7 linked regions of the Ovis aries genome follow. The protein of the gene in region 6 purifies or fractionates together with the protein of the main gene of each other region. This does not show direct contact. Links are inferred from orthologs where the notes say so. Each region holds a gene or a part of one and is shown on either strand. Other genes may lie near its edges. The genes, in order: MAP3K5, PRMT5, PKM, DNAJB6, PSMA3, STUB1 and DNAJC13.

What was found.
Region 1: the proteins of STUB1 (region 6) and MAP3K5 purify together in Homo sapiens (affinity purification with western blotting; 3 studies listed by BioGRID). This does not show direct contact. The link is inferred for Ovis aries from reciprocal best matches to the Homo sapiens genes STUB1 and MAP3K5.
Region 2: the proteins of STUB1 (region 6) and PRMT5 purify together in Homo sapiens (affinity purification with western blotting; 3 studies listed by BioGRID and IntAct, with this or other methods). This does not show direct contact. The link is inferred for Ovis aries from reciprocal best matches to the Homo sapiens genes STUB1 and PRMT5.
Region 3: the proteins of STUB1 (region 6) and PKM purify together in Homo sapiens (affinity purification with western blotting; 3 studies listed by BioGRID, with this or other methods). This does not show direct contact. The link is inferred for Ovis aries from reciprocal best matches to the Homo sapiens genes STUB1 and PKM.
Region 4: the proteins of STUB1 (region 6) and DNAJB6 purify together in Homo sapiens (affinity purification with mass spectrometry; 4 studies listed by BioGRID and IntAct, with this or other methods). This does not show direct contact. The link is inferred for Ovis aries from reciprocal best matches to the Homo sapiens genes STUB1 and DNAJB6.
Region 5: the proteins of STUB1 (region 6) and PSMA3 purify together in Homo sapiens (affinity purification with western blotting; 3 studies listed by BioGRID, with this or other methods). This does not show direct contact. The link is inferred for Ovis aries from reciprocal best matches to the Homo sapiens genes STUB1 and PSMA3.
Region 7: the proteins of STUB1 (region 6) and DNAJC13 purify together in Homo sapiens (affinity purification with mass spectrometry; 3 studies listed by BioGRID and IntAct, with this or other methods). This does not show direct contact. The link is inferred for Ovis aries from reciprocal best matches to the Homo sapiens genes STUB1 and DNAJC13.

The regions. Positions count from the first base shown.
Region 1 is NC_056061.1:62,061,411-62,065,553, reverse strand, and holds the start of MAP3K5 (mitogen-activated protein kinase kinase kinase 5), read left to right. Parts: upstream 1-1,230; 5' UTR 1,231-1,476; coding exon 1,477-1,900; exon of another isoform or gene 1,901-4,143. UniProt on the Homo sapiens protein: Serine/threonine kinase which acts as an essential component of the MAP kinase signal transduction pathway. Plays an important role in the cascades of cellular responses evoked by changes in the environment.
Region 2 is NC_056060.1:21,732,888-21,737,069, forward strand, and holds the start of PRMT5 (protein arginine N-methyltransferase 5), read left to right. Parts: upstream 1-1,239; 5' UTR 1,240-1,253; coding exon 1,254-1,363; exon of another isoform or gene 1,364-1,390; coding exon of another isoform or gene 1,391-1,449; intron 1,450-2,015; coding exon 2,016-2,134; intron 2,135-2,432; coding exon 2,433-2,518; intron 2,519-2,673; coding exon 2,674-2,808; intron 2,809-3,160; coding exon 3,161-3,273; intron 3,274-3,605; coding exon 3,606-3,655; intron 3,656-3,863; coding exon 3,864-4,027; intron 4,028-4,182. UniProt on the Homo sapiens protein: Arginine methyltransferase that can both catalyze the formation of omega-N monomethylarginine (MMA) and symmetrical dimethylarginine (sDMA), with a preference for the formation of MMA.
Region 3 is NC_056060.1:19,006,303-19,010,562, forward strand, and holds the start of PKM (pyruvate kinase PKM), read right to left. Parts: upstream 2,922-4,260; 5' UTR 2,847-2,921; intron 1-2,846. UniProt on the Homo sapiens protein: Catalyzes the final rate-limiting step of glycolysis by mediating the transfer of a phosphoryl group from phosphoenolpyruvate (PEP) to ADP, generating ATP.
Region 4 is NC_056057.1:120,185,075-120,189,413, reverse strand, and holds the start of DNAJB6 (dnaJ homolog subfamily B member 6), read right to left. Parts: upstream 2,972-4,339; 5' UTR 2,872-2,971; exon of another isoform or gene 1-2,871. UniProt on the Homo sapiens protein: Has a stimulatory effect on the ATPase activity of HSP70 in a dose-dependent and time-dependent manner and hence acts as a co-chaperone of HSP70. Plays an indispensable role in the organization of KRT8/KRT18 filaments.
Region 5 is NC_056060.1:68,603,089-68,607,567, reverse strand, and holds the start of PSMA3 (proteasome subunit alpha type-3), read right to left. Parts: upstream 2,824-4,479; 5' UTR 2,762-2,823; coding exon 2,741-2,761; intron 126-2,740; coding exon 43-125; intron 1-42. UniProt on the Homo sapiens protein: Component of the 20S core proteasome complex involved in the proteolytic degradation of most intracellular proteins. This complex plays numerous essential roles within the cell by associating with different regulatory particles.
Region 6 is NC_056077.1:1,117,916-1,122,183, reverse strand, and holds STUB1 (E3 ubiquitin-protein ligase CHIP), read right to left. Parts: upstream 2,912-4,268; coding exon 2,753-2,911; exon of another isoform or gene 2,747-2,752; intron 2,262-2,746; coding exon 2,063-2,261; intron 1,977-2,062; coding exon 1,811-1,976; intron 1,770-1,810; exon of another isoform or gene 1,624-1,769; coding exon 1,536-1,623; exon of another isoform or gene 1,391-1,535; coding exon 1,334-1,390; exon of another isoform or gene 1,247-1,333; coding exon 1,130-1,246; exon of another isoform or gene 1,054-1,129; coding exon 928-1,053; 3' UTR 667-927; downstream 1-666. Other genes in the region: JMJD8 (jmjC domain-containing protein 8), read left to right, coding at 1-77, 165-232, 316-450, 540-620; uncharacterized protein LOC101103616, read left to right, coding at 2,910-3,040, 3,448-3,541, 3,674-3,833, 4,006-4,158, 4,259-4,268. UniProt on the Homo sapiens protein: E3 ubiquitin-protein ligase which targets misfolded chaperone substrates towards proteasomal degradation.
Region 7 is NC_056054.1:257,886,286-257,889,966, forward strand, and holds part of DNAJC13 (dnaJ homolog subfamily C member 13), read right to left. Parts: intron 912-3,681; coding exon 711-911; intron 1-710.

The sequences.
Region 1 (4,143 bases), on a different chromosome or scaffold from region 6:
GGCAGCCCACCAGGCTCCCCCGTCCCTGGGATTCTCCAGGCAAGAACACTGGGGTGGGTTGCCATTGCCTTCTCCAATGCATGAAAGTGAAAAGTAAAAGCGAGGTCGCTCAGTCGTGTCCGACTCTTCGCGACCCCATGGACTGCAGCCTACCAGGCTCCTCCGCCCATGGGATTTTCCAGGCAAGAGTACTGGAGTGGGGTGCCATCGCCTTCTCCGATTCACGACAGCAGAGCTATTGAAAACTTGAAAACGTAAAGTACCAGGGGCAGACCCGATAAATTCAGCCTGCCACTCCCGCAGAGCCACTGTCACCAATACACCACTCTCCAGTTGAGGCCGCCTGCAGGACCGTAGTTAAAATCCTCGGGCCTAGCGCCACGCGGGCCTCCCCACGCTACCCTCTTGCTCCCGGCGCGCACATGGGACCCGACCGCACGGCGGTGCTAGGCCGGCACCGGCCGGAGGAGGGCGCCGTGGTTACGGGGAACGTGGCGCGTGCCTCCTGGCGCTGGCTAAGACCCGAGTATTCGCAAGAGAGACTTTTTTTGTGCCATCCTATAGTCGCCTGCTCTCCGGGCTTTTGCCTACTCCAGGTTGTCTTGGGTGGGGAGCCCAGTGGGTGACGGAGGAGAACCTTGGCCTCGCGCGGTGCTCCGGGCTGGGCCGTGGTCCGGGAGCCGCGACGCGGTCGGTTTCGTCCGGACTCGAGCTTCCCAGCAGCGCCCTCCCCCGGGGCGGGCCCAGACTTTCGGTGCCGCGACGAGTGGGCGGCAAAAAGCCGGTGGCGGACCGGGCGAGCGGCTTCAAGGAGCGGGGAGACTCGAGCTACCAGGCTGGTGCCGGGGACGAAGCGGCCGCGGCAATCGGAAGAGAACGGGGCCGGGGCAGGAGGAGGAAACAGAGCCGATGAAGGGGAGCTGCCGCCGAGGAAGGAGGCGGATCCCTTCGGCGGCTGCTGCCGCTGTTCCGGGACGCGGTCCAGGGAGTCTGCCCGCCCGCGAGGTGCTGGCCAGGTAGCTCCCCACCCAGAGGGCGCCCTCCCCGGCCCCTCCCAGGGTGCCCGGCACGGAAGGAGCCGGGACCGCGTTCCCGGGTGGCCAGGGCGCACCGCACCCGGAGAGCGGCGCCCTTGAGCCGCACCGCCTAGCAGGTTCGCGAGCCGACTTGTCCGCCGGCCAAGAAAAGGAAGCCCTGTCCCTTCCCGCTCAGCCCGGCTCCCCACCCCTTGTACTCTACACCCTGCAGCGGGCGAGCGGCGCGGCCACGGAGGCGCCGAGGAGGGGCGAGCCGCCGCCGGGCAGCGGCGTCCCTTCGGGGGAGAGGGCGCCGGAGAGGAGGCGGCGGCGCGGCGCGGAAGGCGCAACGCGGGATGGCAGCTGCTTAGCAAGGCGCGCACGGAGCAGCCCCGAACTGTGGCTGGCCAGACGGTGCGGCTGGGCGGGAGACGCCGCCGCGGCAGTCCGGCCGGGAGAGATGAGCGCGGAGGCGGGCGAGGGCATCACTTTCTCCGTGCCGCCCTTCGCCGAGGGCGGCAGCTACCGGAGGGGAGGAGCGGCGACGGCGGCCGAGGGCGAGGAGACCCAGCTGCCACCGCCGCCACCGGGCAGCTTCTGGAACGTGGAAAGTGCCGCCGCTCCCGGCGCCGGGTGTCCCAGTGCCACCGCTGGGAGCAGCGCCACCCGGTGCCGGGGCAACTCTGGGGGCGGAGGCGGCCGACGGACCACGGTGGCCTATGTCATCAACGAGGCGAGCCAGGGGCAGCTGGTGGTGGCCGAGAGCGAGGCCCTGCAGTGCCTGCGGGAGGCGTGCGAGACGGTGGGCGCCGCCCTGGAGACCCTGCATTTTGGGAAACTGGACTTTGGAGAAACTGCGGTGCTGGACCGATTTTACAATGCAGGTGCGTGCGACTTTACAATGCAGGGCCCCAGCCTCCGCGGTCGGGGGCCACCGCAGGGGGAAAGCTGTTGTTTCCCACCCCCACCCCCCTGCTCCCGTAGAAAAAATCGATCAGTTTCTGGGCAGCAATCGAGCATCTTACTTATTTACTTCTTGCCCCACCTTAGGGGCAGTGAGCGGCGCTGCGTGACTGCTCGGCTCGCTCGCAGCTTGTGGCAGAGAATCTGACCCCCCGGCCGCCGGCCCGCTCTGGGAATCCAGGGGTGCGTGTGGTCCTCTTGAAGAACTTCTGTTCGCCTGCAGTGCGAGTTACTTGTCCCAGTCAGCCCTGCCCTATTCAGTGTTTTGGTTTCTCTTCTGTTAGATTTGGCCCACATTTTCCTTCTATATATACCTGTGCCTGTTTTAGAAGATGTCCTCATTTTTTTCCGTGTACTTTTGAGAGTACAAAAATTCTGACTTCTGCCACGCAGCCAGCTGCACGCAGAGTGGATCTGTGTGAATTTGCATGTTATGTCACGATCTTCCCAACTCCCTTTCCCTGAAGTTTAGTGGCTTGATTTCCCATCTCTTACCAATTTGAATTGTCAAGTAATTACTTTGAAAAGCAACTTTTGTAACTTGACACTAAACTTGCGAGATATCTCTGTTGGAATTTTGGTGAAAAAGAGCAGAGTATGTTTTTTATGACTCCATATACCCCGATGGGCTGGCAAGTAGATAATTTAACATTATGTAAAACGCTGATATGCAGTTTTAGTAACTAAGTTAGGTTGGCCATTAAAGTGTGCCCATTAAAGTGACTGCTAGAGTAATTCACGAAAAAAAATCTTTTCAGCCTATTACAGATTTCAGAAAGTGTCACTGCGATTCAAGTGACTGAAGCAATTTGCTATCTGCTAGCAAATGTTAGAGATAAAAGCATGTTACTGAAATTAACCTTTAGCACCCTGTACAACCAATGTTGAGAATATATACATTTTTTTTAATAAGTGTGGGCATAAAATTTGATTTAATGGTGCTTTCAGACAATAAGTTTCTTGCATTGTGATCACATAGAAGGTTTTATATTCCAATCTTGTTTCCAGTTCTGATTCTCTTCAGTCTTTTCAGAACACCTGAAGAAGGCTTATGTCAGTCTTGGAATTCAGCCAAAACTGAATATTTTAAGAACAAGAACTTCATGTTAAGGAAGCCAGATTAAATAAACTAGGATTTTCTGGTTCTGGTGTATTTTACCATCTTAGTCTTCATAACTGGACATGGGTAGAACATAGTTTAGCTCGGTTCTTTGTGTGACTTGCTGTAAAAATTACATAAATATAACATTTCTAAAAATTACAGCATTTTTATTTTTGAATTATAATTTGGAAAAAGCTTCAAAGAACTGAAAGATATATGAGGAAAACACCCAATGAAATGCTAAACCTATTTTTATTGTTTTGATAGATTGGGTATTTTTTTTATAAAATAATCTTTAAGCTAATTTGAAAGACTTTCCTAACAAGGTTCATGTAATGTTTATTCTCCAAATACTATCTCTGGGAAAGGGAGAGAGAAAGATTAGAAGGTACCAGACATTTGAAATGTATCTCATTTAATACTCCAAACAAGCCTATGAGGGAAGTAGTACTTAGCTATCTTCTTAGATGAGAAAACCAAGGGCTCCATCACTGGTTCAAGGTCATGGATAATAACTGGTCAATGGAGGGTCCCACTTTGAGTGCCTGACTCTAAAAGGTCCGGCTTCACCCTTGCTACGTCCATTTAGCTGGACTGATTTATTCTCAGAATTAAGAGAGGGAAACGTCAAACTCATGGTAGAGAGCTGGCAGGGACCCTGTGAGCCATTGTGTGCTTTGTGGAATAGTGGGGAGGAGGGCACATTTTAGGGAGACCAGTGTTTCCGGGCCAGCTCTGTCCCATCCCACTGGTGAGCTCAACTAGGCAGGCCCCAGTTTCACCCCTGCCTGTGACATGAACCCTCAGGTCTCTCATTCAGCAAGAAAACGTTGAAGATGTGGCAGAATGAAAATGGTATCGGTTTTGTTTTCTAAACTGAGGGAGGCCAAGGTGAACAGTAGTAGAACTCGACTTCTGATTTCTAAGAGAGCACTTGCTTGTCCTCTGTAAAGGGCCAGATGGCATAAACGTTGTAGATTTCGCTGGAGGTGTCTCTCACACCTCCTCGGCTCTGCAGGTGTTACTCAAGCGGAGCCATAAAGAGGACCTAAATAAATCATC
Region 2 (4,182 bases), on a different chromosome or scaffold from region 6:
TGATCACTATTCCTCCAACTCTCTATTACACAGCGCCCCCTAGACGTCCAATTCAGCATTTCCAAACCCAAACCCTGATTCTCCCTAAAAGAGCTTCTCATTTCCTGTAGCACTCAAAGAGGCCAAAATCTTGGGCTTCAGCCGCAGACTTCCCTTATCAGGCTTCCTGTCCGTTGGTCACTAAGTTCTGTGACCTCCTGCCTCGGGCCTTCCGTATTGTGTTCTCTATCCATCCTCGCTGCCAGGCCCTCAACACCTCTGGGTCTTCAGGTTCTCTTTCTCCTCCCTATATCTTTCTTTGCTTCGTTCTTTTCCATCCCTGTAGCAGGTGTTCACAAAGAAAATGTAGAAATTCTCTAGAAAGGAAAATGTTGAGATTCTCTCAGGTCTCCGCCAGGCTGTTCATAACTCCTCTCCACTGTAATTCCTCACCATGAGTTTTTTTTTCTTTTCCTTCCTATCTTCAGTGTGTGTTTAGATGTTTATTTACTTTTTGTTTGTTTGAGATATAGAATAGAAAGGAGTTGGTGGCTAAATTGCCACAATCTATTAAAAAATATACTAAGGCCCATACAAAGCCCAATTTAGTCATTACCTCAATTTTCTCAGGATTTTGAAGGACCTAAATAGAGACACAAGAACCATCTTTGAATTAGGCAATGGAAAACGCTGACATAAAATGGCTGCAGAACGCAATAAAATTATGAGCTAAAAATGAGGGTAAGAGGAGATCATAAGGAAATTTAGAAAGGGAAGAACGGGATACTTTCAAAATACTGCTTATGACAGTATTGCATGGGATGCAACAAAAACACACGCGTCTCCCCGAGCCAGCCAGGAGTCGAACCTGGAATCTTCTGATCCGTAGTCAGACGCGTTATCCATTGCGCCACTGGCCCCGAGACGACTTCGCTGGCCCCAATGATGACACTTCAAGCTTATACTGCAGGGCTTCATGGGACGTGTAGTCTCTGCACGGAGTTCTACGAGTACACGAAGCATTATGGGAGATTAAGTTCGTCGAGAATCAGACCCTGAGATTGGTGACTGTTCCGAAGCCTCGCCGTACGTCACTGTGAAGCCCGCGGATTGGCGAGAAGAGCCACTCCCCACCCTTCCTCCTCCAGCTCTAGAGCCGTGGGAGACGCTCTGGTTGTTAAGGTGAAACGTCCCGCCTTCTGGGGGCTTTTTTCCGGCTTTGTGATTGGCTGCTAGCTTCAGGGAATCTCGGCGTGGATTGCGCGAGGGAAAAGATGGCGGCGATGGCGGTCGGTGGTGCCGGTGGAAGCCGCGTGTCCAGCGGGAGGGACCTGAATTGCGTCCCCGAAATAGCTGACACACTGGGGGCTGTGGCCAAGCAGGGGTGAGGGCCTGGACCTCCGCGAGCTGAATGCGGGGTCCGAACTCGGGGACCGAGAGGGACAGACCAGTCATCCCCGAGAGGCAGGGGTGAGGGGGTCGAAGTGGATGAGACCAGGGCGGGAGAAACCATTTAGTCCTTCGGGGGGAGAAGCCTCGGGCCCTGGAGCTTGAGAGGAGGGCGGGAAACTTATTGGGGGCGTGTGGTCACTGAACCCCAAAGTCGGAGGAGTTATCAAGTAAATTCAAAAAGGGGGCGTAGAGACCTCCAGGGCCCCGTGTGAGATTGGGAGAAATAGTTAGGAGGTTAGGGAGAGGAGAGTTAAACCATGAGGGGGGATACTTAGGCAGTACTGCTGCCGATCTGGATGTGACAGTCTCGGAAAACCAGTGACAGCAGAGTAGAAAGTCCACGTGGTGTGGATATTCATCTTTTCTCTTAACTCATCTTTTCCATGGCTGTGTCCTGGCGAGAAATTGAGGCACAGTGCAGCGGAAGTGATATGCCCCAAGGTTGGCTGAATTCAGCAGTCTAGTCGGGTCGCTGGTGGCAGCTGAAAGGGTTGTGCAGAATCAAGAGAGCCAGTCCAATTACTTGGATCTCTGGGCACTGCTGCTGTCTTTACATGACGATTCTGGGTCTGTCGCGGTTGTAGGTTTGATTTCCTCTGCATGCCTGTGTTCCACCCGCGTTTCAAGAGGGAATTCACTCAGGAACCTGCTAAGAGTCGGCCGGGCCCCCAGACACGATCAGACCTACTGCTGTCAGGAAGGGGTAGGGAGCATCCCACATGCCCCTTAATTATTAGAGGCAGTAACAACTTATGCTTTATCAGTGCCTTCCTCCTCTTCCTTTCTTCACTTGGATATATTGGTTCGCCCCACGGATATAGATAACTCCTTACCTACCTACTAAAAGCCTTAGTTCCCTATTCTGTCAGGCTCTCCTGTATCTGTGATAGAAAAAGTCTTTGTCTCATCTGTAACTCTATTCCCTGTTAAGAACTAGAAATTGAATGAGTAAAGTGCTGAACCTTATTTAGTCTTTGTCTTTCTTGGGTGGGGGAGTGCAGACTGGAATACACTAATTGTGGGAAAGCTTTCTCCATGGATTCGTCCAGACTCAAAAGTGGAGAAGATACGCAGGAACTCTGAGGCGGTAAGACTGACCTCTTCACTGACTAAATATCAGTAAACAAGTTGGGTGGGGAGAGCACTTTTTCCCCACTCTGTAACTTAGTAAATTTGATATAATGCAATTAAAGCTATTTGAGTTGCTAGCTCTTAACTTTATCCTTTTAATCTCTATTCCAGGCTATGTTACAGGAGCTGAATTTTGGGGCATATTTGGGTCTTCCAGCTTTTCTGCTGCCCCTAAATCAGGAAGATAACACAAACTTGGCGAGAGTTTTGACCAATCACATCCACACTGGCCACCACTCCTCCATGGTATGGCAAGGGCTTCCTTCCCTGCTGCATATTATGATAGTCAGGCTGTGCTAAGTATCTTCTTGTTCCTAGCCATTCAGTGAAGGGTGCATTTGGGAGAACTGAAATGTCAGTACTGCCTACCCACACTAAGAGTGGTGAGCAAAGTATTATAAAACGTATAGAATATCAGTTATTTCCCACAACTTCTAGAGATAAAAGACAACATATAATCACAAATTGGGAATAGGATATAAGGGGATTAGCTTGAAATCTGGATCAAGATCTTTTTAATTGAAGGAAGCTTTCTGGACCCAATGGGTTCAAAACAGTTCTAAATAGGGTGTGGAACCTATTTATTGTTCATGTGCAGTTCTGGATGCGGGTGCCATTGGTGGCACCAGAGGACCTGAGAGATGATATAATTGAGAACGCACCAACTTCTCACACAGAGGAGTACAGTGGAGAGGAGAAGACATGGATGTGGTATGTTTCCTTTTGCCACTGTACCTGGGGTGGAGGGAAGTACAGAGTGGAACCTGTAGGAAGGTCTCCCTGAGGTGTGGTGATTAGTGGGCCGTATGTATTTGATGGAGCTTCCCTGGTGGCTCAGACAGTAAATGGTCCGCCTGCAATGCTGGAGACCTGGGTTCAATCCCTAGGTCAGGAAGACCCTCTGGAGAAGGAACTGGCAACCCACTCTAGTATTCTTGCCTGGAAAATTCCATGGACAGAGGAGCCTGGAGGGCTGCAGTCCATGGAGTCACAAGAGTTGGACATGACTGAGCAACTAACTTCTGTGTTTTAACTCTGCACAGGTGGCACAACTTCCGGACCTTGTGTGATTACAGCAAGAGGATTGCAGTGGGTGAGTCCACAAAGATCCTGGGATAGGTTATCCTTCTCTGAAATCCTGTGACTAAAAATCAGGAGTCTCATGTATACTTGGCTGCTGGGGCATACTTTCTCCATGCTTTAGTCTGCCTTGCTCTTAAGGAGGAGACAGATCTTGCACAAAAGAGCATGCAAAGATTCTGGCCTGTATGATTGACAGGTCTTTGTTTTCCCTTTTGTAGCTCTTGAAATTGGTGCTGACCTCCCATCTAACCATGTCATTGATCGTTGGCTTGGGGAGCCCATCAAAGCAGCCATTCTCCCCACCAGCATTTTCCTGACCAATAAGAAGGGATTCCCTGTTCTTTCTAAGATGCACCAGAGGCTGATCTTCCGACTTCTCAAGGTGTGTAGTGGAAGGGTTCTAAAGGTGTTCCAGTTAATCTTGTTTTACTCACATATGTGTGATGGGATTTTTTTTTTTTTCTTTGTGGGGCTGATTCTTCCTCTCTAACTTCTGGAGCTCAATTTCAGCAAAGTTGAGGGCCTTGAGAGCAAAAG
Region 3 (4,260 bases), on a different chromosome or scaffold from region 6:
CTACAATGCTTATTCCCAAAAGGGTTGCCACATCCATTGCACAAGGCTCAGGACAGGGGTGCAGACTATCACTGGGGCCTGAGGCTCTGCCACGTGGCAATTAAGCACTGTCCAGAGAGCCTGGGGGCCTCCACTATCGTCACCTAGCTGAGGTGCTCTTAACTGGGAGGAATGCATACTTCACTATTTGACTCACTGAAAGGGGAGAGGGGATTCTTAAGCCTGCAAAGACGACAGTGGTTTCCCCACTCACCCAACGAAGACAGTTCTCTTAAAAGCGGAAAAATTCAAAGGTTGAGTCATCTTCCCTACATCCTCCCCCACCCCACCCCCAACACAGATCTGGTGATGTTACATACTCCTCCCCTCAGAAAAGCTCCCCCTGCATTCCCAACAGCATCCTCAGGCAACCTGAGGGTGAATTATTTGCTAACAATGCTGTAGAGTCCCGACCTAGAGCCTCCTCTACACCCCAGGGAGTGGCCACACCCTGCAGACAGCAAACAAGGAGCTACTGTCCTTTGCCTCTTATCTTAATCTCACACCAGCTGGCTGAGCAAATCCCAGAATGCTACCTGGAGTAGGTGCCAATAGAACCTGAAGATTTTAGTTTTAGGTTTCCAAGTTTGTTTCTAATCTTATAGCCAAAAGCTATAATACCAAAGGCTGAAAGCCATCTCCCTTCTTGCCTTCCTTTGGCTGGAGGACCAAAAAGCCCCTGTTGCAAGTGGAGAGTAGCAAGGTAACATTGTTAGTTACTTTGCCAACACTGTAGCAGGATTCCTGAGCGACTGGTTTCTAGATCTCTGGTATTTACATACAGCCTGACTCCCAAAGATGAACTATGACCGTTTCGGGATGGCAGCAAGAAGAGGAGCGCTCGAGTTCAATTATAGATGAAGTCATTGGGCTCAGTGACCAAAAGAATACATCTGGAGGCATCGCACCAGAGATTAGACACTGCACCCTGTATAGACACTCAATATGTATCTATGTTTAAGTATGTATATAGCGACCCACCCTTTCAACACCCAAGATGAAAATAGTTACAATTTTCACATGGGAAACAGGTCCTGAGGCTGAATTCCCCCTATTATTCCTATCAGTATGTAATGAGTTAAACCTGATTCTGAAAGCCTGTTTTCAACTTCCCACTGCCTCTGTCCGTCATGTCTGGACCTCAGTTATCAGGCTCATTTGTATGGGGGAGGGTCAGTGTCCCGGGTTTGAAGAACATAGATAAGAAGACAAGAGATGCCAACCCATTACTGAGTCTTCAAATAATCTTCAGACTGGAAGGTGCTTTTCCGCTTCATCACACCCCGTGTGATGCCACCTGGTGAGGCCTCCTAAACCCCGACAGGAAGTGCGTACCCTCCACGTGTGGAAGCCCGCGTGTACCTTCTTCACGGCACTTATCAGTGGTAACTTTTACATTCGTTTCCTAATCGGACTGAGCTCTGTGGGCTAGGACGATTTTAGTCAATCTGGTCTGGTCTCCACAGCCCTCCCCCAAACAACTCTTTATACGAGTTTTTAATGAATGAGCGTGTGTACGTGGCACCAAGCTCTTGATATATTTCTACTCTCCTCAACCCGCGGCCTCCGCGCTCTACAATCGGGCGCATCTGTTAGGCAACGCTGTTAAGTAACGTGAAGCACAGGCAGGGAGCCAGGTGAGTGCCTCGAACTCGAGGAGGCCTCTGAGCAGCATCCAGAAGCTTGTCGGGCCGGAGATGATGCTTGGTCGGTAACGGGCCCGAGGGTCAGAGTTTCCTGAAGCCGAGGAGCGGGCGCGGCAGGGCGGGTCCGGCGCCGCTACGTGCAGCCCCGCCTCGGCGGGATGGAGCCCGGGGCACCGCCCCCACCCCCAACGCCCCCCGGAGCAAGCGGAGCGCTGCGGCCGCTCTATCGTATTCTGGGCGGCACAAAACAGGAACGCGCCACTGGGCAGCCACCCTTTCTTCCTCTGCAGCGGGTTAGACCAAGGGTTACGTAACCCTCTAACTGCGCCTCCGGCCGCCACTGCATCCATCTCCGGGCCGCCTGGGAGCCAGCCTGCCCATCCGCAGACCAATGCACTTCGGGACTGACCCCGGAACTCCAGCCCCGGGCTGGGGAACTACGATGGAGAAGGGGGGGCAGGAGATGGGAGGCCGAGGGGCGGGGACGGAGAGCAGGCGGACGTGACCAGAACAGAGGGGGAGGGGCGAGGAGGCTGGTGGCGCGAAGGAAGGTGCGCAGGAGAGGGATGCGCTGGAGCGGACGTGACCAGAGAGGCGGGGGAGGGGCGGGAGCCAGCGCGTGAATGAGGGTAGGTACTAGAAGGGGACAGCAGCTGAATGGAGGAGGAACAGGGGAGCGGAGCTTGGGGAGTTTCAAGGAGAAGTTACAAAGAAAGCATCAGAATGAGGGGGACACGGACAGGTTGAAAACAAGAAGCGAGTATTAAGGATGATGGGAAAGGGACGGGCATAGGAGCAGAGTGGAAACGGGGGAGACTGACGCATGAAAGGAAACTATCAAATTAGGAGAATAAAGGGAGGAAGAGGAGAGCGAGACCAGGTCGAAGAGGGAGGAATAGGGAGGTGAGAATGGGACCAGAATGGGGATGGGAGGTCAGGGACTGGGGCAGGAAAGGGGCTGGCTGACCCGTCTGCCTTCGGAAGAAGCGGGAGCTGGGGGCTTTGAAGGAGATCCTAGGCACAAGCAGCCTTTCTCCTCTTTTCTGATCCCAACCGGGTGAGCCCAAGATGCCCCGGACCCTGCGCCATCCTGGGTCCGCAGGCGGGCCAGCATTCCGCACTGCCCCGGGAGACGATGGCCCAGTCTCTCCCCACGCTCACCTCCGACGTGCTCCGGCTCGGGATGCGCTGCTACTGCACACAAGTCCGGAGGCTCGCGACGCGTCGCTCCAATGCGGAGATCCGCTGCCTTAGCCTCAAGGTTATCCCGACTGTGGGCCGCCGCAATCCCTCCGCCGCCCCGCCTCCCACCCAATCCTGGCTCCCGGCTCTCGGGGCCCCGCCCCTCCGCGTCCTCGCCGGGCAGTCACCTTCAGTAGGAAGTGCGGCGGAGGCGGAACGGGGGAATCAGGTTGCCCTTTGAGGGAGGACTACATTCCGTGGCGGAAGGACACGAAAAATAAAACTCGCAGCATTGAGGTTCTGCAGAGCCCAATGGGGAAGCGGCGAGACGGGAGGACCCGCCCTCGGAGCTCTGGAGACCTCCCTCCCAGACCCCCCGGCGCCCAGGCCACCTGTTGCGGCCAACTTGGAATACTGGACCAGGTCTTCTCTTGACCCTTGGCCCAGGCCACCCCAGCTGAGTGGCTCTGGCCTACCCAGATAGTGCCCAGATTTATGGGTCCCCGGGCAGCAATCCCCTGGCCCGGGTGCCCGCCCCAGCGCACGCCCCGAAGACTGAACCGAACAGTCAGGGGTGGGGTGGGGGATGTAGACTCATGGGATGGTTGGAGGTCCCGGCCGCCTTAGGAGGGGCTCCTACACTGGAACGGGGGTAGAACAGGGGAGGGCGGGGAGAACGCGGGAGGGCGGAGTGTGCTAGGAGGGGGAGCGCGAGGCCCTTTTGTTCTTAGGGTTTAGAACAAAGGACAAGTAGAGGCCATGTGAAGACTTTAGTAGGGACTGGAGTCCTGCGGTGCGAGTGCCTGAGAGTAGAAAGTGAATAGAAGGTATTAATATTAGTGCAGGACTGACCATATCAGGAAATGTCATAAAGTTAGATCTCATAATCTCTGCCAAAGTAAGAATTTCTGTTTTCAACCTTGTGTATTTTAATCAATATTGTTGGAGCTTTTCTTGTATTTTTCCTTAAGGCATTTTCTCATTTCCTAGTGATCACAGCAGTTATCTAAGAAGCAACTGTTAACTCTTGCCTTCTTTCCGCCAAATTTTGAGCAGATACAATGTTAAAAATCGTGAATACTATTAGGTTCTTTCCTTTTCCTGGAAAAAAGAGACCAATGGGTGTGACCCACTCAGGCAGACACCCTGCCTGCAGCTGAATCACAGGCCTTCATTATGCTTTCCTGTTAGCTCAGATAAGCTGACAAAAAGTAACAACATTAATTTGTTTAAGATAAAATATTTTAATCTCTTCTATAAGCTGTTTCTGGTTCCCTCAGTTGCAGAGAGGGAGTGAATGCTTCGTTACTGAGGTGGTAAGAGCTCATGAAGTTGCTGAGAAGGAAAAAAAAAAAATCATGCTTTACCAGAGGGAATCAGATTCTTCTCTATC
Region 4 (4,339 bases), on a different chromosome or scaffold from region 6:
AAAGCCCCTGCTCGGCCCTTTGCCTTTCCTCTCCATGACTACTCTGCCCAGAACCAGGTCCCTCGGATCTCCAGAGGACGAAACTGAGGCTCAGAGACGAGGCAGAGGGGTGCCCGAGGCAGCCTCGGGGGCCTGGGAACAGGAAAGAACTCCTGGAAGTGAGGCCTCCTCCAGCGGACCGCCACTTGCTCTGCAAAGGAGTGAGAGCAGCTTGGCGCCCTCTCTTAGAGCTCAGACCCACTGCCCGGGCACAGCGCACCCAGCTGAGAAGAGGAGGAAGCGGGAACCTGCCGGTCCCGGAGATTCACCGCCTGTCACGGCACTTCCTACACTCCGAGAAGGACAAGCAGAGAGAAGGAGCGCGGTTCTGTAGCTGAAGCCACATGGGTCCTCGCTCACCCCTTGAAAGCTTCTCTAGTGGACGGCCTCTCCTCTCCAGCAGCATCCCTGCAGGATGACCGTGTCCGGGTTCCCAGTAAGCTGGCATATTCCCCTCACTTCCCCCCGCTACTTTTTTACTTTATCTCTTAACATATTTGACTTAAAAAAATTATTTAGTTTTAATTGAAGGATAATTGCTTTGCAGGATTGGTTGGTTTCTGTTGAATCAGCCGTAGGTGGACCCGCGTCCCCCCATCCTGAGCCTCCCTCACACACCCTACTGTTCTGAAGCCCAGATGAAGCTGGAAAGGGCTGTCTGGGGTTGAAATGGAAACTATGGTCACAGGACAGGGCTTCCCCAGCACATAGCCACCAGCAAATGGAACCCCCCCCCCCCCCGCCCAAGATGGAGCCAGGGCAGCCCCCTGACCCCCCAGCTCTAACAGACTGTCCCTTCAACACAGACCCTGCCCCCCTACTCTGAGTTCTTAGTTTCTCAGAACTCCGGGAAAATTGAAAAAGCAGTCGAATGAACAGGTGTCTTCGCCTCCATTCGCCAACTGCTGCTGCCCCTCAGCTCAGTCTTTCTTCCTTTTCCAGTTTTTGCTGAGCCATCTGAACGCGGGTTACAGACATCCTGACATTTTGCCTCCAGCTGTCTTAGCACGTATGATCTCATAAGGAAAGCTTCCTCGTGTCGAACGTCATCACTCGTAAGAAAAGAGACGTTCGTGCAAGAACGTGATCTAACGTGCAACTGAAGGGGGCCAGAGTCACCCTGGCCTTCCCAGGCGGCGCTGGTGGTGAAGAACCCACCTGTCAATGCTGTGGGTGAAGAGTAAGAAGAATGAGAGTCAGAGGTTCGATCCCTGGGTCGGGAAGGTCCCCGGGAGGAGGGTGTGGCAGCTCACCACAGCATTCTTGCCTGGAGACTCCCCAGGACAGAGGAGCCTGGAGGGCCACAGTCCATGGGTTGCAAAGAGTCAGACATGAGCGTGCATGTACCTAGAGTCAGTTCAGCTTTTATGGGGCCCCCGCAGGGATGGAAGTTGCTTTCTTCCTGTTACTCTGTCTTATGTCAGTTTAACTGTTAGACTGGCCAGAGTCTAGAAGAGCAAGGAAAGAGTTTCCTCCCCAACAGAGTCCCCAGCTGCATCCACAGCGTCTCACTTTGTTCTGACGTCGAGGAGGAGGAAGACTCCCAGCCTGTCCGAGGGAGGCCTGGCGTGGAGTGGAGTGGACGTGGGGCAGCAGGGACGTCCCGGGGCCGGTGCCCACGCAGGGGTCACCTCGGGTCAGTTCCCCAGCCTGGACAGAAGGCCTGCTCCCTCTCGTTCCCGAGTCCCCCGGCTTCGAGGGGACCACTCTCTGCAGCTGCACCCAGCACCTGTGTCTTCTGTGCCCCGTGCCCTGGAAATCAGGCCCTTTGGAAGTAGACCCTCCCAGGCCTCTCCTCCCTGGGGACGTCCATCAGAATCACCGTAGCCCTAACCCTCCCAGTACTGGCTACCCCTCCAGCCAGCACCCACAGCCCCATGCCCAACCCCCAGTGCCTTCCAGGGTCTGAAGCACAGAGTAGGTCTCCGCAAATGTTTATGGACTAGATGGGTGAATGCGTACTGACACCTTCCTGCACCCAGAGGCTGGAGATGGTGGTCCAGGAAAACCTTGGCCCAGAGGGCTCGCTCCAGCCGGAAGGATGCTGACGGCCAGCCCGGGGCCCAAAGAGCAACCTAGGGGGCCAGGGGCAATTCTGTAGCCAGAGGGCAGGCTCCGAGCTCCCTGGGTGCAGGCTCCAGGCTCACAGTCCTGCCAGCCATGGGGGTGGGGGCGTCAGGCTCAGGGGACTGAGGCCCTCTGGGGAATACTGGCGCTGAGGGGCGGGCTGCCTTTCTGTGACCCTGCCCCCCAGCAGTTCCCTGTGCTGTGCAGGCAGAGGAGGGCCACACAGACGTGCCTCAGTGCCCGGGTCCCCGGCCCGCTCCTGTCCTGTGTCCCGTTCACCCTCTGATGGACTCGGGACATTGCCTCAGCAGCCAGCTCGGCCAGCGGTCACCCTCCGGGAAGGAGAGGCCTTACTGTGCTCCGGGGTGGGAAGGAGAGGATGCAGGCAGACCACCAGCCGCTCAGAGGTGCTTAGAGGTGAAGCTTCTCAGGCTGGGGTTGCAGGAGCCCCCAGGGCTCTGAGAGCTGGGCCCCAAAGGCCCAGCAAAGGGACCCCACCAGGGGCGCGTCTGCATGCCTGCCGACGTCTCACAGTGAGCATCAGCGGCGTTAGCCATCCACGCGGGCCTGCGTTTTCCAGAAAGAAGGCAGGCCTGGGAGCCCGCCAGCCGCCCTCACTTAGACACCGCCCGGCTCTCAGACCCACAGCCGTCACCAGGATGACCCCAGGAAACCTCACACCGCTCAACAGATGAGGGGGTCAGCTCAGGACAGCCACCCGCGAGGGCTGAAAGTAAGGCGGGCTCTCGTCTGTCTGAACTGCACCTTTTTATCCAGAGTGAAGGCGCTCACGAAGCCGGGAAGCCCGACGGCTGCGTGGTCCGCCCGCCGGAGTCCCGCTGCTCCTGGGGTCGTTTCCGTTTCCGGGGGGCGGGCGGCTCGCCGCAGGCTCCAGGCCCCTTCCTCCGGGCATCAGGAGCCGGAAGTCTCGCTCACCTGACCTGACCGGCGAGCAAGCCCGCGGCCGCGCCCAGGTCTCTGGTTGCCGGGCGCCCGCTGGCCGCGGCCCACATTCCTTCCATTCTATCTGCACCCACGTGGCTCTTGGCGCCCTTACAGCAGCCGGACGCCCCTCGTCTTTCCAGCCCCTCATCACTTGGCAAGCAGTCCCGGTATTAGCAGGATTTGCGGGTCAGAACGATAGAGGCAGACGAACCAGATCCAACTGGCCGGGGTTTCAATCCTCCCAGAGCTGCAGCCGCCTCTGGAAGGGGCTGTTGGCCAGCGTCCCCGTGGGGCACGGGCGCGCTCCAGCCACCCCGGGAGAGCCGAGGCCCTCCGCCAGCTGGTGGGCCCCCTGTCCTGCCGGGGGGCGGTTCCTGGTCCTTAGGGACCCCGGGCTCGGGGTGGAAGCCTCAGTCCCGCTGGGTCAGCAGCTGACTGTTTCCAGGGAGATCTGGTAGAAACTGCCCTGCCCTGCCTCCACTTTCCCCACTTTGTTCCCTAGAATTAAGCCTCAGGGTCTAGGTTCTTGGCCATTTAGAACTGCATGCTGATTACAACAAAGTGAAATAAGTGTAACTTCTTACGTCTGTTAAGATCAGAGAAGATTTTGGAGTGATGGGAATTAATTCTTTTTCCCCCCCAAAGTTGTTTTAATTATACTACTCCCTGGAAAAGACCCTGATGCTGGGAGAGATTGAGGGCAGGAGGAGAAGGGGACGACAGAGGGTGAGGTGGTTGGATGGCATCACCGACTCGATGGACATGGGTTTGGGTGGACTCCGGGAGTTGGTGATGGACAGGGAGGCCTGGCGTGCTGCGGTTCATGGGGTCGCAAAGACTCGGACACGACTGAGCGACTGAACTGAACTGAACTGAGAATGGAGACAGCATCCCAGTCCGGCTCTGGCCAGTGGGGCGAGGTGAAGGGTAAGGTGGCAGACTTCCAGCACTTTCTTTAAGATGCCCCAACCTCCTGGAGCAGGGCCCAGATCCCCCTGCCCCGGCCCCCGGCCTGCCCCGTCCTGGACCCCCCCTCTCCTCTGCCTCGGGCCGCGTCCTGGGCAGGCACCAGGTCTCTCCTTTCTGCCCACTCCTCCTGATGAACATAGCAGGAAGTACTCCGGAATCCCAAGAAAGTTAGGATGGGAACCTCCCTGGTGGTGCAGCGGTTAAGAGTCCATGCCTTCAATGCTGGAATGAGGGTTTGATCCGGTCAAGAAGCTGAAGGCCCACATGCTGTGCAGCTGAAAGGAAAGTTAGGACCAAGCTTAGAAACGGCAGAGGGACC
Region 5 (4,479 bases), on a different chromosome or scaffold from region 6:
TTTGGCTAAAACACTAATTTCAAGTAAAACATTGTTTCTTACCTACTATTTTCCACAGCCTTCATAGCATATTCAACTTGAAAAACTCTTCCATCCGGAGAGAATGTAGAAGCTGACAGATCATACTACAAGGAAAAGGCAATAACAAGCTTAGAAGGATGCACCTTTGGCAGTAATAACAATTTTTTCCTAAATGGTTTACACATCAGAAATATATGTTCAATCTCAGTGAAGATTTTGCTGTAAAGAGAAAGGGAAAGTATGTCAAAGCAGGAACAGCAGCTAAGAGAAAAGTTACACACTAGATTTCTGCTATTGACAAGCAATGAACACAAGTCCTGGGTAAAGTCAGAACTTTTCCCACACAGAACATGGCTCATTTCTGAAAAAATTACCATTACCAGTGTAGAAACAACACTGGCTTCTCTTTAGTACCACAGCTTCTCATAGCTGTGGCAGTAATGAACTAAAGGAGCTTGGATACATCATTCAGCATTCAGATATTTAATAAGCATCTATTATATGTCAGTCACTATGAGAAAATACAAAGACTACTCATTCTTAAAGTCCTTCATTTTCAAATCAGACCTCAAACAGATCCAGGTGCTGGAGATAAAAGGTTCTAAAATAAGACAAAGTGAACTTATGGTCTCAGGGAATACCACAGACTACCTGATCAGGAAAGGCATTGCTACAGAAATTATATTTATGTTATTTAAGCTGAGCCAGACCTAAAAGACAAGTAACTACTCATTTAGAATATGGAGGAGTGTCCTGGCATCTGGCATAAAAGAACTCAGGGTAGAAACAAGAGCAGCAAAATTAAGAAAAGGAAATAATAATGCCACTGAATCTTGAGCACCATAAATGGTAAACAGAACAGTAAACTATATTAGAGGCATATAAGGGCCAAGTTATGCTAAGTCTTTTATTTTAGGCTGGAACAGGAAGTTTACGTTTTATTCTAAATGCAATAGAAAGTCATTGGAGTTTGGGTGGGGTGAGGGGAAGAGGTTCTAATTTTTTATTAAATGCTGTTCATCTGGTAAATGAATTACAGAGAAAACAAGAGTGGAAGCAGAGATAGGGTAATCCAAAGGGAGTGTCTTAGACAAGAGAGAAAGACGTGGAAGGTGTTACCCTTTGAGTGTGCAGTCAAAAAAACCTTGCTAATGGATTGGCTTTAGGAATACAGTAAAAAAGAACTCAGAAGTGCACCATAGATTTTTTTTTTTCATTTAAGCAACTAAAATTGAACCATTCACTGAAATGTAAATTGTAGGAGATGCAAAATGGCAACAGAAGAAGAAAACTCAGAGATCTACTCTGGACGTGTCATTTGAAATGCCTATCAAATAATCAAGTGGAGAGAAATGTCAAGACAGGTCTTCCCATCTGGAGTTCTTGGGACAAGACAAGCGTTAAGTCTTCAATAGTGGTGTTTCTTGCCTCTCAGCTTGTTGGTCTGTTAAAGGAAGATCTTTAACTCTACCAGCATTAATACCAAAACATCTCACCTATTTATATTATCAAACATTTTTAAAGGGTTTGTATAACCTTTCAGAACACTATTAATCTAGGGTAATTGGTCTGTTGGTCTGCCGAACGAAGATCTTTACCACCGTAATACTCAAAATTTATCACCTATTTATATTACCAAATATTTTTAAAATGTTTGTAGAACCCTTCAGAACACTATTAATCCAGGGTAATATTAATGTAGTTGCAAAGTCAATGAGCATCAACTAATCCAAAAACAGTATGACAACCTTAGTATAAATTGTCTATTATCTAACTCGGAAAACCAGTATTTGGGCCTAATGGTGAGAATCAAAATCTAATGCACAATGGGAGTAGATGAACTGAGAAACCCATTACCCAATGCCTCTAGTGGAACCAATGAATAAATATTTCTAAACACTATGTTTTCTATATGGGGAAATACATAAAAGGAACAAGCTGAAGACTGTATATATGCAGTACGTTTAACAAAGGAAAGTTAGTAGGCCGAACAAGTTAACAAATCTAACTCCAAAATCCTGGACAGTCTGTTCAAAGAAGCGGTTAAGTCCGTAGCTAATCATTTAAACGCTTACGGTGCCGAGACCTCACACTGTTGTTATTCCTCTAGGAGAAAAGCTGGGACAACGGAAAAATGTAAAAGATTCTTCAGATTCCGCTTTTTAGACAATTTTCCTTGTCAGTTCTCAGAAGGTTTCAGGGACTCATACAGAGAGGTCCATCGGTAACCTCGAAGCTAAGGCAGAGAATCCCCGGGAGTCAGCAGCATCCCAGGAACCGCAAGGGTGGGGAGGCGGGGAGAGGTTCTTGGAAAGCGGCGTCACAAACTTTGGACTCTTAAGCCTCCTTGCCTCAGTGGTGCTCAAGAGCTTAATTGTTGCCCAAGTCCTTCACAGCGCGTGCACACACACCATTTCAGGCCTCAAGAGTTTCCACTTTCGGTTTCCCTAAGTGGCTAAAGAAAGTGACTCAGCAACCTTTTAAAGAGGCTCCAAATCTCACTGCTGCGCGGCCAAGCCCGCTACACCTGAGCTGAGAAGCGTCAAGTCACGGTCACCGCAGGCGCGGGCCTAGACCGTCCGGCACTGCACAACTGGAAGCGGCCCACCTGCCCCCAGGCAGTCCCAGAGGACCCCGAGTCCGCGCACCCACCGCGGTCTGTCTGCGTTCCCTTCCACGCTAATCCTTAGCCTATCACACAGAGAAACAAAGAACTCACCCCGGTGCCGATTGAGCTCATGGTGCCAAAATCACTAGGACGCTTATGGCTTCAGGCCTAAAGCGATCCCCCAGCACCACAGTAAGAGACTAGTAACAAGCTCTCTCATTGACTATTCTTTCAACCAATAGTCTTTTCTGTAGCTCGTTCCTGGAGCGTTGGTCCACGGAACAGAGGATTGTGGGAAAGGAGGGGGCGGGAAATGCACCCGGCAAGTAACGCGCATGTGCAAAAGCAATCTCACCGGGGTTAGGTAGGCTCTTGGTTGTTTCGTCTTCGGTTTGAGTTCGTAGATTCGTTCTGTCTTCTGGTTGCTTGAGAAGCTCCGCCAGTCCTTTTCCTAGAATTATTATTTATCTTTTATCCTTCTCTTTCGCTTCCTTATTTTTTTTTTTTAAAGCAAAACGGAGAGATGTTCTCATACCCTTACAAAGGCCAGAGAAAACGGTAAGGGAGAGGTCTCCCTCCACCATTGGCGGCCTGGTTCTAACCCAATATGTTGAAGCAACCCTATCATCCACCTATTCTAACAAGAAGGAAGAAAGTTGTATTCTTGCATTCTAAGGGTATCACCTCTGGGCTTAGGTCGGAATTTTACAGGATTAGTACCCTTTGTATAACTCTAGTAGAATTGAGGATAAGCTTGATTAAATATTATTTGTTGAACTCTGTATGTCCCAAATACTCAAGTTACATCCTGCTGATGAAACGATGAAAGGGACGGCACCTCATCCTTTACACTCAATGGGAAGAAACAAGCAACAGGGAGTAAATGGGCAAATAGTTGCACCTTTTGGTAAAAAAAAAAAGAGAGAGAGACAATGGACGTTTGAACTTTAAACCTGTTATTTAAGGAATGACTTTCCGAATGGGTGATACTTAAATGGAAATTTGGGATTGTTATCTCAGTATAAGCTTGGCTTATAGGAACTGTCAGGTCAGTATGGCCTTAAGCGGGAGAGAGTGACAGGAAATGAAATCAGAGAGGTGGATATGGAATCAGATTTCATAATAGTTCGAATTTTAATCTGATTTTAAATGGAAAGCTGTCAGCATTTTTTAAACTGCTAAATACTTCCGTGTGTATTTCCCCCAAAAGAACATCATTTTAAATATCCACACTGTAACTGTGAAAATAGAAAAGTACCATTCCTTTTTTTTTTTTTTAATCTGCAGACTTTGTTTACAGATTTTGGCAAATCCCTCAATAATGCCCTTCACAGCCAAAGAAAATCCAAGATCACATGTTGTATTCAGTTGTCATGTCTCTAGTCTCCTTTAATCTGGAAACACTTTCTTAATATTTCTTTAGATTTCATGGCATTAACACTATTGACAAAAAACATTTGCTTTATAAGATATTCCTCAGTTTAGGTTTGTATGATGTTTTTTCATGATTCAATTTGGATAAATGCAGTTTTGTCAGGAATATGACAAAAGTAACCTTCTATTCATATTAGAACCTTATGTTAGGAGGCACATTGTGTCAATTTGTTCCACTAGTGATGATGTTAACTTTGATCACTTGCTTTAGATTTCTCCACTGTAGTTTCACTTTTGCCCTTTGTAATTTATAAACATCTTATGCAGAAATACCTGGAGACTATGTAAATATCCTGCTATTCCTCCACCTTTTACCCGCTAATTATAGTATCTGATGATTCTTATGATGATGGTTTCCAAATGGTGATTTTCTAATTTTTCTCTTCCCTTTGGGCTTTATACTATGAGATCACCAC
Region 6 (4,268 bases):
CTCCCTCTTTCGGCACTACTCTCCACCTCCGTTCAGCCTGCTGGGTACAACTCCTGCTTACAGCTTTGGAATTGCAGGTGGGTGCCCTGCAAGACGAAGGGACTTGGGGGCTGGCTGGGGGAGGATTAAGCTTGGTAACCAGGTGCTCCTAACTTGCCTCACAGGAGCTGGCTCTGGGGTGCCCTTCCACTGGCATGGACCTGGGTTCTCGGAGGTGATCTATGGCCGCAAGGTCAGCACAGGGTGCAGGCTGAGACTCTGGGTTCACTGACCAAAATACAAAGCATAACTTTGCTGCTCCCCGCCAACCCCCAGCGCTGGTTCCTGTACCCTCCTGAGAAGACACCCGAATTCCACCCCAACAAAACCACACTGGCCTGGCTCCAGGACACATATCCAGCCCTGACACCATCTGCACGGCCCCTGGAATGCACTATCCAGGCTGGTGAGGTCAGTGGCTGGCAGACGGGCCAGGCTGAGCCAGGCCAAGGACCCCCATCCAACCCATCAACCCACATGTCCCCCCAACCCCTCGCCAGGTGCTGTATTTCCCGGACCGATGGTGGCATGCCACACTCAACCTCGACACCAGCGTCTTCATCTCTACCTTCCTCGGCTAGCCAAAGGGGGTGGCTGGCAAGCCCACCGCACACCAGCACACATCCCTGCAGTACTCACAGGTTTTATTACAGGGACAGAGGTGGTGGCAGCAGCCTCAGCCCAGCCCAGCCTCACCCCCCCTTTCCGGCCCAGAAGGAGGATGAGAGGCGTGTTGCCCAGCAGAACTGATGGGGGTGGGGGTGGGGACACCAGGGTAGGGATCCAGGGACACAAACTATATACAGAAAACTAGGGGCTGCTGCCCCAAGGCCCTCCTGAACTAGGGTACCGGGCAAGGCAGGTGGGTGGCCCATACACCCACCCTGCTCAGTAATCCTCTACCCAGCCATTCTCAGAGATGAAGGCATCGATGACCTCTTTCATGGCCAGGTTGGGGATGAGCTGTTCCTGGGTCAGGGGGCTCCGAGTCACAGGGTCAAAGTGGCCCACGCGCTGCAGTGACAACAGGGCAGAGTCAGGGGCTGCTCAGTGCGCGTGGGCCCTGCTGCCAGCGCCCACAGACCCTCACCTGCAGGTGCTCCTCGATGTCCTTACGGTCGTATGTGATGCCACTGGGCGTGATGCAGGGCTCCCGCATCAGCTCAAAGCTGATCTTGCCGCACAGGTAGTCAGGGATGTCTCGCTTCTGCAGCACACAGGGTTGGATCAGGTCAGGGGCTGGGAAGGGACACTGCTCTAGCTACCCACCGGCCCCAGAAGACGGGCAGCTCACCTTTCTCTTCTCGTCTACCTGGGAGAAGAGCTCGTCCATGTCTGCCAAGTACTTGTCCTGCAAAGAACCAAGCAGCCACTTGTGGGCCTGACACCCCTCTCCCCTCCCCAGACACCGAGACACAGACCCAGCAGGAGCCAGGGCACCTCACATCACAGCGCACGCACACACAGGACCCACACTCGGGCTGGGGCACCCTCACATGCTTGGCCTCAATGCAGGCCTGCTGGGCCCGTACGTGGCTGTCGTCCTCGTCACCCTCGTGGTTCCGCTGACACTCTTCCAGTTCCCTGGGGGTTGACCAAAAGGTGTTCAGAGATGGGTCTGGCCAGGGGCAGTCAGACTCCACTCCAGACTTAGGATCATTCAGGCCCCTTTCCCTCCATCTCCTGCGTGCCAGAATTGGCCTTCAATAAACACTTGTGTTCACACCTCAGAGTTAACCTAAGAGTGGTGACTCGAAGAGGGGGAGCCCACCTCTCACGCTCAGCCACAATGAGCCGTGTGAGGTAAGAGTGCAACTCATTTTCCTGGTGGATGCGTCGCTCCTCGATGCTGTTCCAGCGCTTCTTCTTTGCGATGCGCAGAGCACTGGGGATGTCATCCCCAAAGTTGAGCCGCTGCTCCTTGGCCAGGTTGTAGGCTGGGGGATAGAGCATTTGGGTAAACTTCAACCAGTCCACCCACCTGGTCCCAGGCACCCTGGAACCAGCTAGCCTGTAAGCCCACCTCGCTGCAGGTTGGCAATAGCCTCATCATAGCTTTCCATCTCCAGCTGGCATTGCCCCAGGAAGAAGTGTGCCTTCACAGACTGCCCGTCCAGCTCCAGGGCGCGCCGACAGTCGGCCAGGGCTTGCTCGTGCTGCTGCATCTTCAGGTAGCACAGTGCCCGGTTGGTGTAATACACGGCCACCAAGGGGTTCCGGGTCTGGGGACCAAGGCCGGGCCAGCCAGCATGAGGGAGTGAGCTCAGCCTGCCCACTCCGTCCCAACTTGAGGCCCGCGGTTGGAACCAAGACACTAGCATTTTCTCAGCTTCCAAGCCCCTGGGTTCTGAGGGAGGGTGAAGCCTACGTGAGCCCACTCTCTGGACTCCAATGAGTCTTGTGAAGGTAGTTTTCCCGGACTCATGGAAATCCCCAGCATCGCGTTTGACTCCTCAAGGGGCAGGGATGCCTGGTCCCCAGCCCAGTGGGCCTCGAACACCTACGGTTCCCACCCAGCACAGTTCTCTGGCAGCCCGCACTGGCTCGGGAAAGGCGCGGCCTTGGCCCCAGACCCCAAGCACCCACCCCCTCCCTCCGAAAGTCTGGCGGGCACGGCCTGACATGTTCTGAAGAGGGCGCGCGGCAGAAGCCGCAGCTCGGCCCCTCCCCTGGCTCGGACGCCAAGCCCCTCCCGCAGCGCGGGCGCACTCACGATGGCGCGGCCGTAGCAGGCCGCTGCCTCCGGGTACTTGCGGCCCACGAAGAGCCGGTTGCCCTGCTCCTTGAGCTCCTGTGCGCTCGGGCTCTTCTCGGGGCTGCCGCCGCCGGCGCCCAGCCGTGCGCCGCCCTCCTTCTCCTCCTTGCCCTTCATGGCGCCGCACGGCACCGCCTGGGCTCCGCTCCCAGGCTCCGCGCCCAGCCCGCCCTGCGCCCGCAGCCCGAGCCCGCGATCCGCTCGGGCTCGGTCCAGCGCTCCGCCACCGGAACTTCCGGTCTGCAGGTAGGCGGGGCCAGCGGAGCGGACCGCCGCACGGGTGGGCGGGGCCGTGCGTGCCCCCGGCGCGCTGTGGGGGCGGGGCCGGCAGGGAGGGGGACTCTGGCAACGCGACGCGGCGTCAAGGTTTGCGACGCGCTGGGTCACCCGGGCAGACGCCCGCCCGGCCGCGCTCCGACGCCCCGCCCCCGAGGCCTCGCCTGGCGCGGGGAGATGGCCGCGGCTGGCGGGCTCTGGAGCTGTGAGGACCCAAGCCGCTGGGCCGCCGTCTTGGAGTGCCGCGGGGCGGTGCTGCGGGCGCGCGCGGGCCCCCAGGGGCGGCTGGAAGCGCTGGACCGGTGGTAGGGCGGAGGGGGCAGGGGCGGGCGGGCCGAGCCCCGTGGCCCGGACTCCGTAGCGCCGCCTTCCCCCAGGTACCGAGAGGAGCTGCCCGCGGCCATCGGGGCCCGCGCGGAGAAGCACGTGACACTAGACGAGCTGCAGCGGCTGCTGGCGTGGAAACTGGCGGTAAGGCTTCCCACTTGGGGCGCGGCACAGCCACGTGGGTGGGGCTTCCCAGGGGGCTCACCCTCGTGGCAGTCTTGAGGGGCCTCCCAGCGAGGGCCGCCACCCGTGACACCCGACCCGACCTGGCCACAGAGGGGCCGCTTCCGACCGCGCCTGCAGCAACTCGTGGCCGCCAACTCTCCGGAGCTGGTGGTGCAGCGTTCGGCCGCCGCCTTCCGCCTCCTGCCAGACATGCACGCAGCGGTCATGGCTCTGTGCGCCCTCCGTGGCGTGGGCCCGGCTACCGCCTCGGGTTAGTCGGGAAAGCTGGACCACCCCCGGGCAGGGTCGCTGGCGGAACCTGGCCTGTTAGTGTCCTTATCCATGAAATGGTCCGACGGCCAGATACATGATACAGGAGAGTCGCTGGGGACAGCAGCCCCAGGCCCAGGCGGGGCTGAGTGCTGTCCATTCACTGCCCACAGCGGTACTGGCTGCCGGAGCTCCTGAGGCGGCAGCCTTCATGTCTGAGGAGGCAGTGGCCGCAGTGCCCGGCCTGCCCGCCCTGCAGTACACTGTCAAGCACTACCTGCTCTACCTGAGCCGGGTGCAGGAGCGTGCAACAGCCCTGAGCCAAGGTGCGGAGACCACGGGCGGCCCGGGTGGTCACGGAGAGCTCTCTCTGACCGTAGGAAGATCGGTATCTCCGAGCCCCAGACTCTCTCTGCCCTTCTCTAGGCAGTGCATC
Region 7 (3,681 bases), on a different chromosome or scaffold from region 6:
AAGGTAGCTATAGGATTTAAAATCTTAAGAGAAAGGACTCTGAGAGTAAGTTCAGCTGAGCCTCTCCATCTGGACACTCGAATGTTCATCTCTGAGGTGTGGGGTTTAATCAAGAAAGGCAGGATGTTCCTTATAAAAAAAAATGGTCATAATCTATAGCTCTGTTTCTACTGCCAATTAAAAAACAGGGTCTCAGCACCTTAAGAGGTTTCTGCTGTGTCCCAAAATTTACATGTAACTCAGAATTTCAAGACAAAAACATGCAATGAACTCCAAATTTGAATTTTCAAAGTCTATTCAGATTTCAGATTACAAATAGCTGGGCAAAGGAAAGAAAACTATAAAAAAAGATAGTTTAATGTAACTTTTCAAAGAAAGTTTAGAAACTTTCAAGTAACACATTAATACTAATGAAAATAAAACTGTGATCACTGTTTATTAAATATTAAGTGACATACTGTGCTAAGAATTTTACATAAAGTATCTCATTTGATCAAAAAACCTAAGACATACACATATTATTCTCCACATTTTAGAGAGCAGCAAATTGGAATTCAAGCTGAGGTCTACCTGATACCAAAGCCTGCACCCAAAATACCATACTTCCTTCCAGAGGACTCAAAGGAAATTTCAAAATTAAGTGTAAACACTCTGCTTTCCTTCAAATGGTCATGTCTCTTTTAAGATAACTTTTTAAAAACACTACTTACCAATCTACTAAATCCTCCATAAAGTATACAAAACCCTCCTTGATAATCAGAGAGATCTACAAAGCCTTCAATATTTCTATAGTCATAGGAACAGAGGACTCTGTTTGTTGCAGGATTAATCTGATCAAAGCCTCCTGGCGTTACTTCCAAAATGACAGGTTTTCTTGTATCACTCCAGTGATGCTTATAGCAGTTATATCTCTGCAGAGAAAAACAATAATACTTTTAAATTTATATTTCAGGTTACCATAAAACACCATTACATCTAATGTATCACTCATTGCAGAAAAAAAAAAAAAAAGAAAATCTGTATTATAAAATTTTAGAGCTACTACTCAAATTCTTAACGACATTTTTACTTTGGCCATCTGGAGGTTTATGTTTATTCAATTAAGAATGTTGAGGCTAACTAAAGACAGTATCATATCAGTTGAGATGCTCAATTGTGTCCAACTCTACGACCCCATGAAGAGCAGCACACCAGGCCTCTCTGTCCAACATCAACTGCCAGAGCCTACCCAAACCCATGTCCACTGAGTCAGTGATGCCATCCAACCACCCCATCCTCTGTCGTCCCCTCCTCCTCCTGGCCTCAATCCTTCCCAGCATCAGAGTCTTTATCAGGTGGCCAAAGTACTGGAGTTTCAGCTTCAACATCAGTCCTTCCAATGAACACCCAGGACTGATCTCCTTTAGGATGGACTGGTTGGCTCTCCTTGCAGTCCAAGGGACTTGGACTCTTGAGAGGCTTCTCCAACACTACAGTTCAAAAGCATCAATTCTTTGGTGCTCAGCTTTCATTATAGTCCAATTCTCACATCCGTACACGACCACTGGAAAAACCATAGCCTTAACTAAACAGACCTTTGTTGACAAAGTAATGTCTCTGCTTTTTAATATGCTGTCTAGGTTGGTCATAACTTTCCTTCCAAGGAGTAAGCGTCTTTTAATTTCATGGCTGCAATAGCCATCTGCAGTGATTTTGGAGCCGAAAAAAATAAAGTCTGACACTGTTTCCGCATCTATTTGCCATGAAGTGATGGGACTGGATGCCATGATCTTAAGTTTTCTGAATGTTGAGCTTTAAGGGAATTTTTTCTTTCCTCTTTCACTTTCATCAAGAGGTTCTTTAGTTCTTCTTCACTTTCTGCCATAAGGGTGGTGTCATCTGCATATCTGAGGTTATTGATATTTCTCTCAGCAATCTTGATTTCAGCTTGTGCTTCTTCCAGCCCAGAGTTTCTCATGATGTACTCTGCATATAAGGTAAATAAGCAGGGTGACAACATACAGCCTTGACGTACTCCTTTTCCTATTTGGAATCAGTCTATTGTTCCATGTCCAGTTCTAACTGGTGCTTCCTGACCTGCATACAGGTTTCTCAAGAGGCAGGTCAGGTGGTCTGGTAGTCCCATCTCCTTCAGAATTTTCCACAGTATTTTGTGATCCACACAGTCAAAGGCTTTGGCATAGTCAATAAAGCAGAAGTAGATGTTTTTCTGGAACTTTCTTACATTTTCAATGATCCAGTGGAAGTTGGCAACTTGATCTCTGGTTCCTCTGCCTTTTCTAAAACCAGCTGGAACATCTGGAAGTTCACGGTTCACATATTGCTGAAGCCTGTCTTGGAGAATTTTGATCATTACTGTACTAGCATGTGAGATGCGTGCAATTGTGCGGTAGCTTGAGCATTCTCTGGCATTGCCTTTCTTTGAGATTGGAATAAAAACTGATCTTTTCCAGTCCTGTGGCCACCGAGTTTTCCAAATTTGCTGGCATATTGAGTGCAGCACTTTCACAGCGTCATCTTTTAGGATCTGAAATAGCTCAACTGGAATTCCATCACCCCCACTAGCTTTGTTCGTAGTGTTGATGCTTCCTAAGGCCCACTTGACTTCACATTCCAGGATGTCTGGCTCTAGGTAAGTGAGAGTGATCACACCATTGTGATTATCTGGGTTGTGAAGATCTTTTTTGTACAGTTCTTCTGTTCATTCTTGCCTCCTCTTCTTAATATCTTCTGTTTCTGTTAGGTCCCTACCATTTCTGTCCTTTATGGAGCCCACCTTTGCAAGAAATGTTCCCTTGGTATCTCTAATTTTCTTGAAGAGATCTCTAGTCTATCCCATTCTATTTTTTTTTCCCTCTATTTCTTTGCACTGATCAGTGAGGAAGGCTTTCTTATATCTCCTTGCTATTCTTTGGAACTCTGCATTCAAATGGGTATATCTTTCCTTTTCTCCTTTGCTTTTCGCCTCTTCTTTTCACAGCTATTTGTAAGGCCTCCCTAGACAGCCATTTTGCTTTTTTGCATTTCTTTTCCATGGGGATGGTCTTGATTCCTGTCTCCTGTACAATGTCACGAACCTCTATCCATAGTTTATCAGGTACTCTGTTTGTCAGATCTAGTCCCTTAAATCTATTTCTCACTTCCACTGTATAGTCATAAGGGATTTGATTTAGGTCATACCTGAATGGTCTAGTGGTTTTCCCCACTTTCTTCAGGAGAAAGTGTATAAAGAGTTCATGATCAGATCCAGTCAGCTCCTGGTCTTTTTGCTGACTGTATAGAGCTTCTCCATCTTTGGCTGCAAAGAATATAACCAATCTGATTTCACTGTTGGCCATCTGGTGATGTCCACATGTAGAGTCTTCTCTTGGGTTGCTGGAAGAGGATGTTTGCTATGACCAGTGCATTCTCTTGGCAAAACTCTATTAGCCTTTGCCCTGCTTCATTCTGTACTCCAAAGCCAAATTTGCCTGTTACTCCAGGTGTTTCCTGACTTCCTACTTTTGCATTCCAGTCCCCTATAATGAAAAGGACATCTTTTTGGGGTGTTAGTTCTAAAAGGTCTTCTAGGTCTTCATAGAACCATTCAACTTCAGCTTCTTCAGCATTACTGGTCAGGGCATAGACTTGGATTACTGTGATATTGAATGGTTTGCTGTGGAAACGAACAGAGATCATTCT